Linked DNA regions of Caenorhabditis elegans. The protein of the gene in region 1 purifies or fractionates together with the protein of each later gene. This does not show direct contact. Each region holds a gene or a part of one and is shown in the gene's direction. Other genes may lie near its edges.

Region 1 (6,176 bases):
ACCCTACTTTCACTGAACTAAGTTTTCTTTTACGAAACGGTCAAAATGTGCTTCCAAATAATGATAGTAACATTTTTCAAATAAAAAAAGAAAGAGTTGACTGTCCATCAATGCTATTAGCTTCGCACACAGTTTCTTTGTGTTCCATCGTCGAGCTGTCTGCGTAACTCGTTTAGGTGCACTGTCTCGTGTTTCATACTCTGCGTCATTCCGTTTTCGCCATTCGGTTCGTCGCCGGCGCCATAGCCAATCGATTATTTGGTTCTTCAAGGCAGTAGTCGCCCATCTCTTCATGTCTCCTCGCGCTCCCTTCGGAAGAACACTGATATCTCTTCTCGCTCCTTCTCGACGTCTTCTTTTCCTCCCCCACCATGTCTTCTGCTTCTCCACCGGCTGATGCTGTCGTCGCCTCATGCTGCACACGTCGTTGACACTCACAGGCCCGCACACACATGGAGGGAGTGCTCCATCTCTCGTTTTTGCCGCTTAGAAAATGGATGTATATTGTTTTTTAATCCATCATGATTCCTTCCGTCTCCGTTTTTCACTTTTTATTACATTTTGCCAATTGGATTTCTGTTGATCACAACAATCTTATTCAGCATTTTCCTTATTATTATTTTGAAATAATCAAGCTTTTAACTTTTGAAATCATATTTGCTTTCTGATCAATAATTTTTTGTTTCTATCGGAGGACAGCTGATAAGTAAGAGGTTCCTTCTCGTGTAGTCATGAGTAGTCATTGATTATTTCCGTCTTGTTGTTGCCCTCTGGCCAGCTGCGTGAAGTTCTTCTCTGCGTGATCGCATACTGTTTCAGTCATTTTCCTATGACTCATCTGATAATTATTGATCGATCGATTGGTTATCTACCATTTTGAAAAAAAAGTTGAAGTTATAATCTGATTTTGCGCCTCACTCTGCTCATTATTATTCGGCACACACGCACACATACACACTCATTTTTGTTTCCTTTTCTGTCTCTTTCTCTCTACGGTCTGTCTATTGCTCCGTTTTTGGTTAACTGGAATTCACACAGGTGAGGGAGCGGATTAGGAAGAAACTTGAATAGAAAAAAGAATTCAGTGAAAATGAGATGATTAGAGAACTACCTCGAGCCATGTATCTCTGCTTTCGTGCTTTATGAGCATTCAGTGTTGATAGTAATAACATAATGAGATGACTGAAGAGACGCAGATGTTGTGAAGAAGCTCGAATTAATCTCGCGCGTTTGCTCTGCGCCGATGGATTAAGAGTCCCTTGGTTGGCAGACGAGATCTCGGTAAGCATCATCTGCTTGTTTTCTCCAACCAAATCTTCGTGCTTTTGACCAACAATTTTTTTTTGACTAAAATGCGGCGATCAGAGAGATATTACTTATAAATTGATCTACGTAAATTAAGCATCCATTATCAACATTTTTGTGTTATTTCATTTTCTAATTTTGTTGCACTGAAATGCACTCAAAACCGGTCCCTTCCGTTTACAAATTGCAAATGCGCCCTTTCGCACCCTAGTTTTTTTGCCCGCGTTTCGTCATGTAAATTGCGATAGCATTGCGGCACCGCTGTGATTCTCGGTCATTTTTGTGATCGAATCAAACATACAAACTTTTAAACAACGTTCTTTGTCTCTAATTCTCTGACCTGAGTGTTCCATTCCTTTTGACTCTTTGAAAAAACTTTGCAGCTATTTCTCTTTCAAACAATTGTCTTAATTTCCTGTTTTACCATGTTGTGCTTTTTCTTCATCACTCGACAGATTTGTTGCCTAGCAACCTGCGGCATGAGGATTTATGCTTCTTTTTTTCCCGATGTCAATCTCTGAATTCCTAATCCAATTTTGTATATAATAATTTCCATTTTTCAGACGCATTAAAAATAGTCGTCATTCCCGTGTCTCAAACACTTTAATCTTCGTCACATCCAGTGATTAGGAAGGGAAGAGAACCAAAGAAACAACGAAAAAGAGGAAAAATTTGAATAATGGTGATGGAAGTGGACGAACCTGCAGTTGCGGCGACTACATCGCAAAATCAACCGCAGGAGCATGCGAATGACTTTGATATGGATACCTCCGAGGGACCAATTGAGAACGATGAAACATTTGAACCGGTAGATCAAATAAATTGGAAATTCAACCAGGTGAAAGGAAATATAGATGCCGATGTGCACACGGAAGGTAAAAAATTGTTACTTGAAATTTCCCTACGTTTTTGATACTATTTCTTAAAGACGCACGATTTATTCAGAAAAAAGTTGGTGGTTTAATTGCCTTGTTTTTTTTTAAAATTAAAATACTACTTAGTTCATTTTTTGCGAAATTTGTCATATTCTTTTCATTTTTCTGTGAAAATTGTTTTAAATCAGTTTTTAAAGTAAAACATTCGAAAAAAATTACCATAAACATTATTGCGCGCCGAGACCCATCTGAATTAATGCGTGCGACTTTAAGATGATATGTCAAAAATTAGTAAAAATTATGATGCCTAGAATACTGAAAAATCGAATAATTTTCAGCCGATGTGATCTCTTGTGTGGAATTTTCACACGATGGTGAATATTTGGCAACGGGAGACAAAGGAGGACGTGTTGTAATTTTCCAACGAGATCAGAGTGTAGGTTTTAGTTTTTAGAAAGACGAGAACTGTTTTAAATATTTAATTTTTCAGGGAAAGTATGTGAAAGGCGTTCGATCGAGGGAATATAATGTTTACTCGACATTTCAATCTCATGAACCTGAATTTGATTATTTGAAATCACTAGAAATTGACGAGAAAATTAATCAAATTCGGTGGCTTAAAAAGAAGAATGCAGCCAATTTCATTCTCTCGACCAACGACAAAACAATCAAGCTGTGGAAAATTAGTGAAAGAGAGCGTAAAATTGGAGACGATGCATGGAATCTGCCTAGAACAAACAGAATCAAGTATAACATTAATGATTAAATATTTTAAATATATAAATATAATTTTCAGCACTTCCTCCTTCCGAGGTCGCTTACAAATACCCTCGATCGTGCCAATGGAGTTGATAGTTGAAGCAAGTCCGAGACGAGTTTACGGAAATGCTCACACTTATCACGTCAACAGTATTTCAGTGAATTCTGATCAGGTATTTTAATAATTTTTTTTTGTGTTCAGCTTTTTTCAATCCAAAGTATACGATGAATCAAAATCTCAACAGTATAACCTTCTTCACATGTTCGGCGTATTTTTTTAACTATTCAATTTATTAGAAAAATAGTACCAGGTTGGCTGAATTCTTTTTTGTGAAAATTTAAAATGTTTGGTACTGCAAGGACCAAAATATCAATTATGTATAAGTGAACCGAAATTAAAAATTATATTCCGATTTTCAGGAAACATTCCTATCTGCCGACGATTTGCGAGTTAACCTTTGGAATCTGGAGATTACCAATGAGTCTTTCAGTGAGTTTTGAATACTTGTTTTCAAAAAATTTTAATATCGATTTCTTCCAGACATTGTCGACATCAAGCCTGCTAATATGGAAGAACTTACGGAAGTTATTACTGCCGCCGAATTCCATCCAACGCAGTGTAATTGGTTTGTATACTCTTCATCAAAAGGATCTATTCGATTGTGTGATATGAGAGATCGTGCTCTATGTGATGCGTATGCTAAAAGTGCGTTTGGTTCTGTGTATTGATTATATAAATAATATTAATTTGCAGTTTTCGAGGAACCAGAAGACCCTCAATCTCGATCTTTCTTCTCGGAGATTATTGCATCTGTTAGTGACGTCAAATTCTCACATAATGGAAGGTACTTGCTTACGAGGGACTATCTTACTGTCAAGGTAATTATTAATAATTAAAAAGAAAATTTGAACAACTTTTATATTTCAGGTGTGGGATTTGAACATGGAATCACAACCGGTAGAGACATATCCAGTGCACAATTATTTACGAACAAAACTCTGTGCACTCTACGAAAATGATTCAATTTTCGATAAATTCGAGTGCGATTGGAGTGGAGATGACAAGTAATTAATTGCAGTACTTTTTCATATTATAATTTTCTTTTTGCAGACATATTCTCACGGGTTCGTATCATAATCTGTTCCGTTCATATGCTCGTGGCAATAACCAAGATGCGAAAACTTGGGAAGCTCGGCCTCAAGAACCACATTCACAGCTCCGATCTCGATTTGTTGTACCATCAGCGAAACGGAAGAGAAACAATCTGTCATCAAGCGGTGAAACGGTAAGATTTCAATTAAATTTAAAAAAACGTCTTCATGTTTAAATGGGTCTCTGCGCGCAAAAAAAGTTTATGGTAGTTTTTATTTTTATTTTATGCGACTGCTTCTCGTTTATTTTTTATTTTTCAATATAATTACTTCGTATTTAGCGACATTTTTTCGCTAAAAATACACTTTAAACGACGTAATTTTATTGAAAATGTAAAATAAACGAGGAATCAGCCGCATAAAATAAAAGCACAACCGTAAATTTTCTTGATCGCCAAGACTCATCTGAATACATCCGTGCACCTTTAAGAATGCATGTTAAACTCTCGTGAAAATATGATAAACATATCTTACTTCAAAATCAACAAAAACCCAATTTACAGACCGAAGAGGATCTTTCATCTGATCAACTTCAATTTGATCGTAAAATATTGCACACAGCATGGCATCCAAAGGATAACATCATTGCTCTTGCTGCCACTAACAATCTCTACATCTTCTCAGATGTTTAAATTATTGTTTTCGTAAACTTGTTGGATTTCGTCCTCCCCCAATCATCATTTTCCCTTTTTCTCAATTTATCCTCAAATATCACATTCATATAACTCTAAATTTTTTTTTCATATTTTCCCCATATTTTTGTGAGTCAATTCTTTCTCAAATCCCGTCCCTTCTTTCCCGTTTTCGTAGTCCTCATGTCGACTTATAGACATTTAATCGCGTATTCAATGTTACTCGCTTTCTTTCTTTCAAATCCTTCGTCATCGTAAATTTTTGAAGTAAAACAGGAATAAGCTCTTAGTTGGTTTCTATTTTTCAACTGTTAAAGTTGTCTTTTGCTTCCAATTTGAGATAGAGTTGTACTTTATTATTCTTATAGCTTCTTTTTCTTTACTCTCTCCCTCTCTCTATCCTCTCATATCATTCTTGAATTACGTGGCCCGTTTTCTATACTTTTCCCTCACTCTTCAACTCCAGTGTTCTCTTTCTTGTCTCTTCCACCACCACTTTTAAAAAGATAACTGTAGATCCTTAACCCCGAATCATTCGGGTCGTGTCTCTCCCACTTTTAGGATGATTTCTCCTGTTAGATTCACAATGTGTTTCACGACTTAATCCTCTTGTTTGAAAGCGTGTGAAGGTATTATTCTCACCTTGTTAGCTCCATTCTGTAATTTTGAAAACTATAAAAATCGCCCAAAAAATTTTTGAAATTTTTCCGACTTTAGTTATTTTCTCTCCACTTTCTCTGTTCGTTTGTCTGTCACAAAATTACAAACTTTCAAATCAAGAATCTTGACATAAATTTTTGTATTACTTCCCTCATATTTCTTCATCATTAAATCCCCGTGGGTGTGTCTCATCATTAAGTCTTCCTTTTCCCATAAAATTGTAAGCAATATTTATTTTCCAATCATAAAAACTCATTTATTGAATGGAAATAGTCGACAAATGTACAAAAACAATAATAATAGTATCACATTTGTGGCGATGAGGATTTCAGTTCCATGGCGACGATATGTTTGACGTACTAGTACTTGTGCATCATATGTGACTTTGGAGACTGAAATAAATTAGAAAAATATATTATTGGTGTCTCGACACGACAAATTTATAAATGCGAAAATGTGCGCGCCTTTAAAGATTACTGTAATTTCAAACTATTGCTGCTGCTGAATTTTCACCGAATTGCATAGTTAGAAAAATGGAATATAACAATAAAAGCATAATTTTGAACAAATAATTAGAAAAAATTTAAAAAAAAACTCGATGAAAATTCCGAAGCAATCATAGTTTGAAATTACAGTACTCTTTAAAGGCGCACAACATTTCGCATTTAACTAAAATTTGTCGTGTCGAGGCCGCGTACCGTATTTTTGACGCGGATGTATAAGAGAATAATTAATTGAAAAAAATCGATTATATTACGTTGGATTTTGTTTTGAAAAAAGTACAAAAGTTATA
Region 2 (4,364 bases), on another chromosome or scaffold:
GCTCAAAAATGTACAAAAAGTTTCGTCAAAATGTAAGTGCCTTCTTGAATTCATCATCTAGCATGTTTTTGATGTCATTCTTTAACACCTGATGCTGAAAATCTCCGGTTTCAATCATATTGTTTACTAGATTCAGTTACTGGAGCCGTTAGTAACAAACTATTGTCATTCCGCTAGATCGTATTCCTACTTTTAATTTGAATTATAATTAGCTCACCAGTTTTTTTTTCTGTCTGAAGTTTTCGGTCTTTTTCAACAATGATTTTGTTACATAATAATTTAAAAAATCGGACATCATTAACCTTCGTTAGTTGCCAATCGATAGTTTCATCTTCTAAAACATACCGTTTTTTCTGAAATTTCGCATAAATGAGTCATCATGATTCTGCTGGGTTATGAAATGTATTTTTCTAGAAATATTCTACCTCGAACATTTTTTTCAGTACGCCCCTCTATCATAACTTGGCCGTCCCTAGCACGTCACCAGAGCTCTAAATCCTCGCCTTTTCACACCTCCTTTCTGCACACAACGCCTCTGCTGTCGTCGTTGTCGCCTTCAGCGATAACGCCAATAAACGAAAACATCGGTTCAGGAAGAGGACTTCTTCACTTCTCTCCGTCTTGTTAACAACAGACAGTGAGGGTGTTCAGTAGAGCGCAGTGAACCGCGACGCGAGCCCTTGCGATGCGGTCGCTCTTTCCTCTGCCTTATATCTTTTCTTTTTCATCTCTTTCTCCGTCACTTTCGCAATGCGATTGGTTCCTCGGCTGGTTATAGCACAGGAGTGCCGCTGCTCCTTCGCTATCTGTCGTCTGATCCTCCGTCACTGCCCAATTGGCGGGCCCCGCATCTCTCTGCAGCCCTGCTTTCTCCGCCTCGCTCTCCTCACAAAACAACAATTTTGTCGTACTCGATCATCCCGCGTTCTCTATCATTTTGATGTCTTCCACTAATGTTAAATTCATTTATTCCGTTCTCACGTGTTCCCATTACAATTGGCTTTTGCCCATTGAATATTGATTATGATTCACCGAAAATAAGGCAAAAAAAACACAGTTTTATGATTTTTTTTTTCATTTGAAGAGTTTCAGTTACATAATTAGGTTTTTTACCGTATCAACGTTTGCCTAACAATTAAAATATTTTAATTCTCGTTAGAACATAGATTGACCCCTATTGTGAAACATAATTAACAACATTTGTTCTTTGCCTTATCGGAACGGAATGAAATTCCGTATGGTTTGGTGGGAGGTAGAAACGCAAACAGCGAGTTATCGATTTCCTCTTTTTCCTATGAATATTTTTCAGCGCGTGATTGTTGTTCATCTTTCACTTCTTCGTCTAAAATTGAGAATGGACACTTTTTGACACTAGTAACTAATCCGGTCTGGCATTTAGTAACATTGAAAAATAATCCATAAAAACTACACATTTTATTTCTATGTTCTTGTTTTCTTTTCTTAACCTGTTCACGATTGATTTTCCGTCTTTTTTAAAACTTGTGCTTTACATCATTTCATTAACTGTCTCTCCTCCAATTGTGACGTTTTCTTTTTCGTTATAAGATGCTGTTGGAGCAAGGGGCACTTAATCCCTTTTGTCTTGCAATCCTATCAGTTTATACGGAAAGAAGAATCCGCTGAAAAGTATTGACTGTGAGGCAACAGCGTGAGTTTCTGCTCTTCACGCTTTCTCCGACTCGTGCTCCGTTGCTATAGCTGCCCACGTTGTCTTTCTTCTTTCTCTATGCGTTCTTATCATTCAAACTTTTTTATACTTCTAATTTCTTGACCAACAAATAAGTTTTCAGTAGTATGGCTGCTGCCCCACCATCTGCGGATCCGCTTGATAAAGCACTAATCGTCGATGTAGATCAGTGGATTGAGCAGTTATACGAATGTAAACCACTATCGGAGAATCAAGTCAAAACGTTATGCGAAAAGGTTTGTTGATACAGTTTTGTGATTGTCAAAAATTAATTTTTTTAAGGCGAAAGAGATCTTGGAAAAAGAGCCGAATGTGCAAGAAGTCCGGTGCCCTGTGACAGTGTGTGGTGACGTTCACGGTCAATTCCACGATCTGATGGAGCTGTTCAAAATGGGTGGAAAGAGTCCTGACACGAATTACCTTTTCATGGGAGACTACGTCGACCGGGGGTATTATTCCGTCGAAACAGTTAGTCTGCTTGTCTGTTTGAAGGTACAGTTATCACAATATAGTATGGAAATTATTATAACATCTTTAAAAATTCAGATTCGATACAAGGATCGAGTAACACTGCTCCGCGGAAATCACGAGTCGCGACAAATCACTCAGGTAATTAAAATCAATTTATTTCAAAAATTATTATTTTCTTGTTAGGTCTACGGGTTCTATGACGAGTGTTTGAGGAAATATGGAAACTCGAATGTGTGGAAGTACTTCACTGATCTCTTCGACTGTTTCCCACTTACCGCTCTTGTTGATGGTCAAATCTTCTGCCTTCACGGAGGTCTTTCACCGTCTATTGATACTCTTGATCACATCAGAGCTCTTGACCGCATTCAAGAGGTAAGTTATTGTGGAAATCTACCTTTAATAGTTACTAGCCTGAAATATTTCAATAATAGAAAAGTTCTAACATTTTCATCACCGAAAATCATATATTTTTAAAGGTTCCACACGAAGGACCAATGTGCGATCTTCTCTGGTCTGATCCAGATGACAGAGGTGGCTGGGGAATCTCTCCACGTGGAGCAGGATACACATTCGGTCAGGATATCTCGGAGACGTTCAACCATTCCAATGGACTTACTCTAATTTCTCGGGCCCATCAACTTGTCATGGAGGTGAGAAATTATTTCAAATCGATATAATTTTGCAATGATATAAATATGTTTAGGGATACAACTGGAGTCACGATCGTAACGTGGTAACAGTGTTCTCAGCACCAAACTACTGCTATCGTTGTGGAAATCAGGCAGCGATGGTGGAGCTGGACGACGATCTCAAATATTCGTTCTTGCAATTCGACCCTGCCCCTCGAAGAGGAGAACCACATGTTACTCGCAGAACGCCTGACTACTTCCTGTAGATAGATACCTCCGTTCAAATCGCCGTTTTCATTTTCTTTTTTTTCCGTATTATCCCCCTTACCCAATTAATTTCAATACTTTCTCTCACTTTTCCTCTTTTTCATCGTTTCAGTCATTATATAGAATATCGTTGTTTTTGTATCGTTGCCCAACACCATCCTATTTGACAATCCCATCTCTTCTGAAGTTGCTCGAAATGATTGTTGTGTTCTTCATCTATCTTTTTTGTTCCATTCTCTTGTCCTCTACCAAAATTTAGGCGATCAAACCGTGCTTCTCTTCTCAAATGATGCGATGATAGGGATGAAAATTTCATTGTTCATGTAAATTAATGTGGTGGGAAGAGTTTGGCGGAATCATTAGCCATTACTGAAAAAATATCTCCGACATCTCGTGTCAACCTTAGCACTCGGTTCTCTTCCTTCACTCAATGAAGCAATCAATATTCTTTTCAGTCATCCCCGTGTGAGAAAAGTTGCGATCTTCTCCGCGCACGCGCTGTACGGCGTTCGCTTCCAACATTTCTTTACTCTTTTTCTTTTCCTTCCATATTCTTACACTATTTTCCCCTCCATCCCATCCTTTTCACCACTTCCCGTCTTCCTTGTTTCTTATGATTATTATCACAAAATGCGAATGGACAACATCTCTCCCTTTTCCACTATTTTATTCCCCCATTTTGTTTAATTATAATATTATTTTTGCCCCATCAACATTTTGTTTATCATCAATGATCAATAAACTGTGTCCACATCAAAGTTTTGAATTTTCGATTGCAATGTAGAAAGCATAAAACAATACTTGTCTTGGTGAAAGAAAAAACTTTAAATCGAATTATTTTGGTTCCAGAAAATGAGTGAACCAAGTTCATCATGGTGCAATCCAATGGCAGTTTCAACGTTAGGAAGTGGAAATCTTCGTGACGCTCTGAAACTTCCACCAGGGGAAGATAAAAATGAATGGCTCGCCGTAAATAGTAAGTTTTTGCTAAAAAAAACTTTGACATTTTTTTGCACAGCTTGGTAATAATAATTTGTAATAAAACAAAAAATAATTTATAATAAAACAAAAACTGCTAATTGTGATTTTTTTCGAGTTGATCCAATTTTCTCAAAAAATACAAAAAATTGGATAAATTTCCTACAGTAATCTTAAAGGCGCGTACACGAAAACAAATAAACACTGACGCGCGGCGAGACTATTTCTCAATTTTGGTTCTCCCTTTAAAAAAGCGGAAACATACAGTTTCTATAAGTTTTCTTTTTTAATTTTATTTTTGAAAAATTCCA
Region 3 (7,591 bases), 4.6 Mb from region 1:
GAAATCTGTGAAAACTCGTCCCTTTTTCCATTGGATAGCAAATGAGATCCGTTTCATCGAATAGGTTTTCTTTGCAGATGAACTTTTGAAAAGAGCAGAAAGTGAAAATAGTGCAGCTGTGAGAGGATTATACAATTCCCTGAAACAATTTTATATTTAGACAAGAAAAAAACCCATTTTATAACAACGATTCTTACCCATCTTGTGTCTCATCAAGACTTTCCGATTCCTTTGATGGGAAATAGTTTTGAATAAGCTCGAGATCAACAAGTCGTTCATCAACGGACATCGATGTTTCGAACATTTGTAGATGTTGAATTTGATCATTTGAAACTTTGAGAATATGAACTCTCATCCCGACGCTTTTTCCCGAAACTGCCAAATCACATCCAACAATCAGAAGAATATCCACATCGAATGAATAAGCTCTGATAGAATATACAGTTTCAGTTGGTTCCATTGGAGACTTTTCTTCCTCGAAGTCTGCAGATTCTAGATCTCGATTCAAAGATTTTCCGTCTGAAGCAAAGTAGTTATTCAAGTCAATAGTGCTTGGCAATTGTTTTTTCGTCTCAACATTCCATGCTTGCACCCATCCGTCTCTGGTAACAGCGAACACAATATCGGATTGGACTGAAATTTTTCGCTCTCTCGTGACTCCAGAAGTCGGGCGAAGATTCTTCATAACACATGCATCACTGACTCGTTTATCAGTGCCACCTAGAAGTTTTCCCAGAAGACCAACTTCTCCCATTGTGAATTCTTCGTGTTTATCACTGGATTCCGTGTATGATCCCAATGTGACAATGACCAACTGCCCTTCAGCGGTACAGTAAGAAATCTGAATTCAAAATTCGAAATATAGGTTGTAATCAATTTCCATTTTTATACCGTATTTCTTGAAGGATGATGTGTAACACTTGCACGAATCGGGCGCCCTGGTGTTGAAAGGGAGTGAGATGTTCTGAATCGGCGGAAATCGTCATCTTCTTTAATTCTTGCAAGAATTGAGAACGTCTGAAAATAATTATTCTCATTCGATTATGGAAATTTTTGAGAACAAACATCATGGCCTTTGGAGTGGAGTCTCGCGTAGAAACGATGAATTGCAGAAGCTGTGGGAACGACAATACATAAAACCCCTTCCTCGAAAATTGTTATCGATGTTCCAGGAATAATAGGTGTGCGTGTGAAGTCAATGCACAACGATCCATCCGTGATTGAGTAGAGCAAAGAACGCTCCTCAATGAACAGTTTCTGGCCAATCGCACGCCACAGGAAAATCCGATCGCCGTAATTTGAGCAGTGCGGAAATGTTGCAACTCCTGCGGACGGTTGCACATCAAATCCATTCGAATGAAGCGGCGCATCTAAAAAAGTGAAATTTGTTGTAGAAACAATTATTTAATGAAATTGAAACTTACTGGTGTTTACCACAAAAGTTCTAGCCGGCTTTATAGCAAATCCATCCGTGAAGCTGATTTCCGACCCGTAAACCAGCTCCATCTGAAATTAAGCATAAAACACGATGTTAAAGCAAAAGAGAAATATGGAGATGAAATAAACACGTTCAAAAATATTTAAATATCGTTAAAAACAATTTTTCATTGGCGTGAACTTGTTTTACTTGTTTTTTATACGTTTTTTTATACGTGAAAAAATGGAAGAAAACAATTCACTTTAAATTTTAATCACTTATCGAGAAGGTTCTCATTGGATTCAAAGAAAAACTTGTTAGAAATTTGTGAGTTTTTACAATAAGCTTCATATTTTGACACTTTGCGATGTAAAATTTTACAAAACAATGATGAATTGAGCCGAAAACGCCTCCATATGGAGCTCCATTCGAATTCAAAAATAAGGGGCGTGGCTGCATGAGCAATACCGCCGCATGGTATTTCGCAACATGCGCACACTTTTTCTCTGTCAAGAAAAACGAGGCCCCACGAAAAGGGGATCTGCAAAAAGGGGATCTGCGAAAAGGGGAGATACGAAAAGGGGAGATACGAAAAGGGGAGCAACGAAAAGGGGATCTGGCACTGTGCCAAACGCTATTTTTCTCGAAGAAAACGATACAACGATTGTCGCGAATACGCAGAATACTGAGTCATCAACAATGACAAAGCCGGGAAACTCCTGTTTGAAAGCCGCGCCAAAAGACACACACGTCACGCGTGTTACAGTACTACCACACATGCACATCAAACCCCAACACGTCGACACCACGCAAGGAAATCGTCACTTCTTCGTTTTACTCTTGGACCGGCAGGTCGCATGTTAAATATATGAGCTTTCTCATTTTTATCATTTAACGGATTTATCAGTAATAAATTATATAATTCTACCACTTTTGAACCTATACCGATCCGAAACATGGTGCATCGGCTCCGATGTTACGCGTCGCGTGTTGTTAAGCGTATCTTCTAGAAGAAAATTTCAAAAATCAACGTGCGTTGCGTGAGAAAAATTGCGTTTTGTGCGTTTGGCACAGTGCCAGCTCCCCTTTTCGTTGCTCCCCTTTTCGTATCTCCCCTTTTTGCAGATCCCCTTTTCGTTCTGCTCCCCTTTTCGTGGGGCCTCAGAAAAACGCGCGCCTAAACGTGAATTTTGAATTTTCTCCGCGTCCGCGAAATTCTTACGTTTCCATAGTAACAAAAGTTGGTCCGCACTTGTTTTTCATGATTATGCACGCCCAAAGAACGGTGCTGAAGCTTCAAATTTTGCAACCTCCTGTTCATTTTGACTCAAAACTCTTAATCCCAAAAAAACGCTCAATTTTGTTTTCGAACCCGTTTCTTGTTTCAGAAAACTTCGCGTTAAATGGAGGATAATTCTGTGCTCAACGAGGACTCCAATCTCGAGCATGTCGAGGGTAATTATAACATTTAAAATCAATAACTGCATAAATGCAAAGGTTTTTTAGGCCAGCCACGAAGATCTATGTCGCAACCAGTTCTGAATGTTGAAGGAGACAAAAGAACGTCTTCGACCAGTGCCACTCAACAGCAAGTATTGTCAGGAGCATTTTCGTCTGCTGATGTTCGTAGCATCCCCATCATCCAAACATGGGAAGAAAACAAAGCGCTTAAAACAAAAATAACTATCCTGAGAGTAAGTAATTTATCATATGCTTATTTAGAAATGATTTGAGTTTGTAGGGAGAACTGCAAATGTATCAGCGCCGGTATAGTGAGGCAAAGGAAGCGTCGCAGAAGAGAGTTAAGGAAGTTATGGACGATTATGTCGATCTCAAATTAGGCCAAGAAAATGTTCAAGAGAAAATGGAGCAATACAAACTGATGGAAGAGGATTTGCTAGCAATGCAATCGAGAATTGAAACTTCCGAAGACAATTTTGCCAGACAGATGAAAGAATTTGAGGCACAAAAGCATGCAATGGAGGAAAGAATCAAGGAACTGGAATTGTCCGCTACTGATGCAAACAACACAACTGTCGGATCTTTTCGTGGAACTCTTGATGACATTCTGAAGAAAAACGATCCAGATTTCACATTAACCTCTGGTTATGAAGAAAGAAAGATCAACGACCTGGAGGCAAAGCTCCTCTCTGAGATCGACAAGGTAGCTGAGCTGGAAGATCACATTCAGCAGCTCCGTCAAGAACTTGACGACCAATCTGCAAGGCTTGCCGATTCAGAAAATGTTCGCGCTCAGCTTGAAGCGGCCACTGGACAAGGAATCCTCGGAGCTGCTGGAAACGCTATGGTTCCAAATTCAACGTTCATGATCGGGAACGGTCGTGAATCACAGACGCGAGACCAGCTCAATTACATTGATGATCTTGAAACGAAGTTAGCTGATGCGAAGAAGGAAAATGATAAGGCTCGTCAGGCACTCGTTGAATACATGAACAAGTGTAGCAAGCTTGAGCACGAGATTCGAACCATGGTTAAAAATTCGACATTTGATTCTTCTTCCATGTTGCTTGGTGGTCAGACATCCGACGAGCTTAAAATCCAAATAGGAAAGGTGAACGGTGAATTGAATGTGTTGAGAGCTGAAAATCGAGAACTCCGCATTCGTTGTGATCAATTGACCGGAGGCGATGGAAATCTTAGCATTTCACTGGGACAAAGTCGACTGATGGCTGGTATTGCGACTAATGATGTCGATAGCATTGGACAAGGAAATGAGACTGGCGGAACATCGATGCGCATTCTTCCCAGAGAAAGTCAATTAGATGATCTTGAAGAAAGCAAATTGCCGCTCATGGATACATCATCTGCTGTTCGAAATGTAAGTGTATGAAAATTATTATTTAAAATAAAGTCTTGAATATTTAGCAGCAACAATTTGCCTCCATGTGGGAAGATTTCGAGTCAGTGAAAGACAGCCTGCAGAACAACCATAATGACACCCTTGAAGGTAGTAAAATTGATTCCTAGATTTTTTGAAATTGATTATTGTTAGGTTCCTTCAATTCGTCAATGCCACCACCTGGTAGAGATGCAACTCAATCGTTCCTCAGTCAGAAGTCTTTCAAGAATTCTCCGATTGTAATGCAGAAACCAAAATCACTTCATCTTCACCTGAAGAGCCATCAATCCGAGGGAGCTGGCGAACAAATACAGAATAATTCGTTTTCTACGAAGACTGCTTCTCCTCACGTGTCACAAAGTCACATTCCAATTCTGCACGATATGCAACAAATTCTGGATTCTTCTGCAATGTTCCTTGAAGGCCAGCATGATGTAGCTGTAAATGTTGAGCAAATGCAAGAGAAAATGTCCCAGATCAGAGAGGCTCTTGCTCGACTTTTCGAAAGACTTAAATCTTCTGCTGCTCTTTTTGAAGAGATTCTTGAAAGGGTATGAAAACTGTCAAGTTGTGAATCTGTAAATCTGAGTTTTTTGTAGATGGGATCCAGTGATCCAAATGCGGATAAGATCAAGAAAATGAAGCTCGCATTTGAAACAAGTATTAACGACAAGCTCAATGTATCTGCCATCTTGGAAGCAGCGGAGAAGGATCTTCATAATATGTCACTCAATTTCTCAATTCTCGAGAAGTCGATAGTTAGTCAGGCTGCGGAAGCTTCGAGAAGATTCACTATTGCACCCGATGCTGAAGGTAATATAAATTTTAGAGACGCTCATAAATCAATATTTTCCAGATGTCGCCTCATCTTCTCTTCTCAATGCCTCGTATAGTCCACTCTTCAAGTTTACAAGCAATTCAGACATAGTGGAAAAGCTTCAGAATGAGGTATCGGAGTTGAAAAATGAATTGGAGATGGCTCGTACACGAGATATGAGATCTCCATTGAACGGTTCGTCTGGAAGATTGTCGGATGTGCAGATCAACACCAATCGCATGTTTGAAGATCTCGAAGTATCTGAAGCAACGCTACAAAAGGCTAAAGAGGAAAATTCTACATTGAAAAGTCAATTTGCTGAACTCGAAGCCAATCTCCATCAAGTTAATTCTAAGCTTGGAGAAGTGCGATGCGAGCTCAATGAAGCGTTGGCTCGTGTGGATGGTGAACAGGAGACTCGTGTCAAAGCTGAAAATGCATTGGAAGAGGCTCGTCAGCTCATCAGTTCTCTAAAACATGAGGAAAATGAGCTCAAGAAAACCATTACTGATATGGGGATGCGATTGAATGAAGCAAAGAAGAGCGATGAATTCTTGAAAAGCGAGTTATCTACCGCGCTGGAGGAAGAAAAAAAATCCCAAAATCTAGCAGATGAGTTGAGTGAAGAATTGAATGGGTGGAGAATGAGAACAAAAGAGGCGGAAAATAAAGTTGAACATGCTTCATCCGAGAAATCTGAAATGCTTGAAAGAATTGTTCATTTGGAGACTGAGATGGAGAAGTTGTCGACTTCAGAAATTGCGGCCGACTATTGTTCTACGAAGATGACAGAAAGAAAGAAGGAAATTGAGTTGGCGAAGTATCGCGAAGATTTTGAGAATGCCGCTATTGTAGGATTGGAACGTATCAGTAAGGAGATATCTGAGCTAACCAAGAAGACTTTGAAAGCCAAGATTATCCCAAGGTATTATCAAACGTCGTGCTTGTTTTTTTTTATTTGAGAACATTTTCAGCAACATCTCATCGATTCAACTCGTTTGCGATGAACTCTGTCGTCGTCTTTCCAGGGAACGAGAGCAACAGCATGAATACGCGAAAGTTATGAGAGACGTCAATGAAAAAATTGAAAAGCTTCAATTAGAGAAAGATGCTCTCGAACATGAGCTGAAAATGATGAGCTCTAATAACGAGAATGTCCCACCAGTTGGAACATCGGTCAGTGGCATGCCTACTAAAACATCGAATCAAAAGTGTGCTCAACCTCGTAAGTCATACTTATGCACATCAGAAGTTGAATTTTCACCAATTCTCCAGATTACACGAGCCCTACTCGACAATTGCTCCACGAATCAACTATGGCTGTCGACGCAATTGTTCAGAAACTCAAGAAGACTCACAATATGTCAGGAATGGGTCCAGAGCTTAAGGAGACGATTGGCAACGTCATCAATGAATCCAGAGTTCTTCGCGATTTCCTCCATCAGAAGCTCATTCTATTCAAAGGAATCGATATGTCCAATTGGAAGAACGAGACCGTCGATCAACTGATCACAGATCTCGGACAATTGCATCAGGATAACTTGATGCTTGAGGAGCAAATCAAGAAGTACAAAAAGGAACTGAAACTGACAAAATCCGCCATCCCGGTATGAAATTCTTTTTCTATTGAAATCTATTTTGAAAAATATCATTTTCAGACACTTGGTGTCGAATTTCAAGACAGAATCAAAACGGAAATTGGCAAAATCGCAACTGATATGGGAGGAGCTGTGAAGGAAATTCGCAAAAAGTGAACTGATCTGTTAATGTATTAAAATGGAACCAGTTTTATCAACACTATCATCTCGACAAGATTAACTTGTAACGATTGTATTGTTTTCCCAGCCTAAAGATACACCTAATGCATCTATCAATGTACTTGTGAATTAAATGCTTCTTTTCTGGTAGTTGACTGCAATCCCATTACAGATAATAAAAGGAACAGATTAATTTAATGAAAAAACAGCGGACAATCTTACAATAATACAAACAGTTGAGATAAATAAGACAAATTTCGATGGAAGATTTATACAATGACATTGATCAGCTTTCCTCTTCATCCTCTTCGAAGATATTGTGAAGGTGATAAGCTTGACTTTCTGTAAAATTAAGGCGTTTTGTAAATTCAAGAAATTGTGAATACCTTACTTCTGTTTTTCAAGTCTTCCTTTTCGGTAATAGCCGACAAATTAAGGGAGAATGTGACATCGCTTGGATCTGCGTCTTCTCGTGATCGAATCGGAGTTGAACAATGACGTCCTGCACCAAGCTTACTTTCATCGAAAATCAACGGAGTCACTCCGCGTGACAGTGGATCATTTTCAGTGTTACCAGATGAACTTGTTGGCACATTTTCCTCTTCCTCGTCAACAGATTTCCGTTTTCGATTAGAATTCTCTTTCACGACTGGTGGCTCTGTTGACTGACCCCGACGACTACGACGCAAAGTGACGTTGGCCGAAATATTGACTTCCTTTTCCGGGGATTCTTCAAGAAA

The links. The genes of interacting proteins can lie anywhere in the genome.
Region 2: the proteins of sur-6 (region 1) and let-92 purify together in Caenorhabditis elegans (affinity purification with western blotting; 3 studies listed by BioGRID, with this or other methods). This does not show direct contact.
Region 3: the proteins of sur-6 (region 1) and spd-5 purify together in Caenorhabditis elegans (affinity purification with western blotting, with the first as the bait; one study listed by BioGRID). This does not show direct contact.

What each region holds. Positions count from the first base shown.
Region 1 is NC_003279.8:9,752,254-9,758,429, forward strand, and holds sur-6 (Serine/threonine-protein phosphatase 2A regulatory subunit sur-6), read left to right. Parts: upstream 1-1,868; 5' UTR 1,869-1,984; coding exon 1,985-2,180; intron 2,181-2,518; coding exon 2,519-2,616; intron 2,617-2,670; coding exon 2,671-2,927; intron 2,928-2,976; coding exon 2,977-3,112; intron 3,113-3,359; coding exon 3,360-3,429; intron 3,430-3,480; coding exon 3,481-3,645; intron 3,646-3,693; coding exon 3,694-3,818; intron 3,819-3,867; coding exon 3,868-4,004; intron 4,005-4,050; coding exon 4,051-4,225; intron 4,226-4,594; coding exon 4,595-4,723; 3' UTR 4,724-5,635; downstream 5,636-6,176. Other genes in the region: F26E4.2 (Tnp_DDE_dom domain-containing protein), read right to left, coding at 5,636-5,775. UniProt on the Caenorhabditis elegans protein: Probable regulatory subunit of serine/threonine phosphatase let-92.
Region 2 is NC_003282.8:11,856,631-11,860,994, forward strand, and holds let-92 (Serine/threonine-protein phosphatase 2A catalytic subunit), read left to right. Parts: upstream 1-1,811; 5' UTR 1,812-1,815; coding exon 1,816-1,944; intron 1,945-1,990; coding exon 1,991-2,200; intron 2,201-2,254; coding exon 2,255-2,317; intron 2,318-2,362; coding exon 2,363-2,551; intron 2,552-2,655; coding exon 2,656-2,829; intron 2,830-2,882; coding exon 2,883-3,074; 3' UTR 3,075-3,830; downstream 3,831-4,364. Other genes in the region: mob-1 (Mob1/phocein), read left to right, coding at 3,928-4,051.
Region 3 is NC_003279.8:5,170,751-5,178,341, reverse strand, and holds spd-5 (Spindle-defective protein 5), read left to right. Parts: upstream 1-1,687; 5' UTR 1,688-1,744; intron 1,745-2,805; 5' UTR 2,806-2,820; coding exon 2,821-2,872; intron 2,873-2,923; coding exon 2,924-3,111; intron 3,112-3,158; coding exon 3,159-4,256; intron 4,257-4,303; coding exon 4,304-4,385; intron 4,386-4,430; coding exon 4,431-4,828; intron 4,829-4,876; coding exon 4,877-5,090; intron 5,091-5,133; coding exon 5,134-6,019; intron 6,020-6,068; coding exon 6,069-6,319; intron 6,320-6,369; coding exon 6,370-6,701; intron 6,702-6,752; coding exon 6,753-6,848; 3' UTR 6,849-7,040; downstream 7,041-7,591. Other genes in the region: npp-6 (NUP160 middle TPR domain-containing protein), read right to left, coding at 1-139, 198-841, 892-1,017, 1,066-1,370, 1,425-1,506; Condensin-2 complex subunit hcp-6, read right to left, coding at 7,041-7,193, 7,238-7,581. UniProt on the Caenorhabditis elegans protein: Plays a central role in centrosome maturation and mitotic spindle assembly during the first division of the zygote. Required for the centrosomal localization of air-1 and zyg-9. Probably not required in late embryogenesis and during larval development.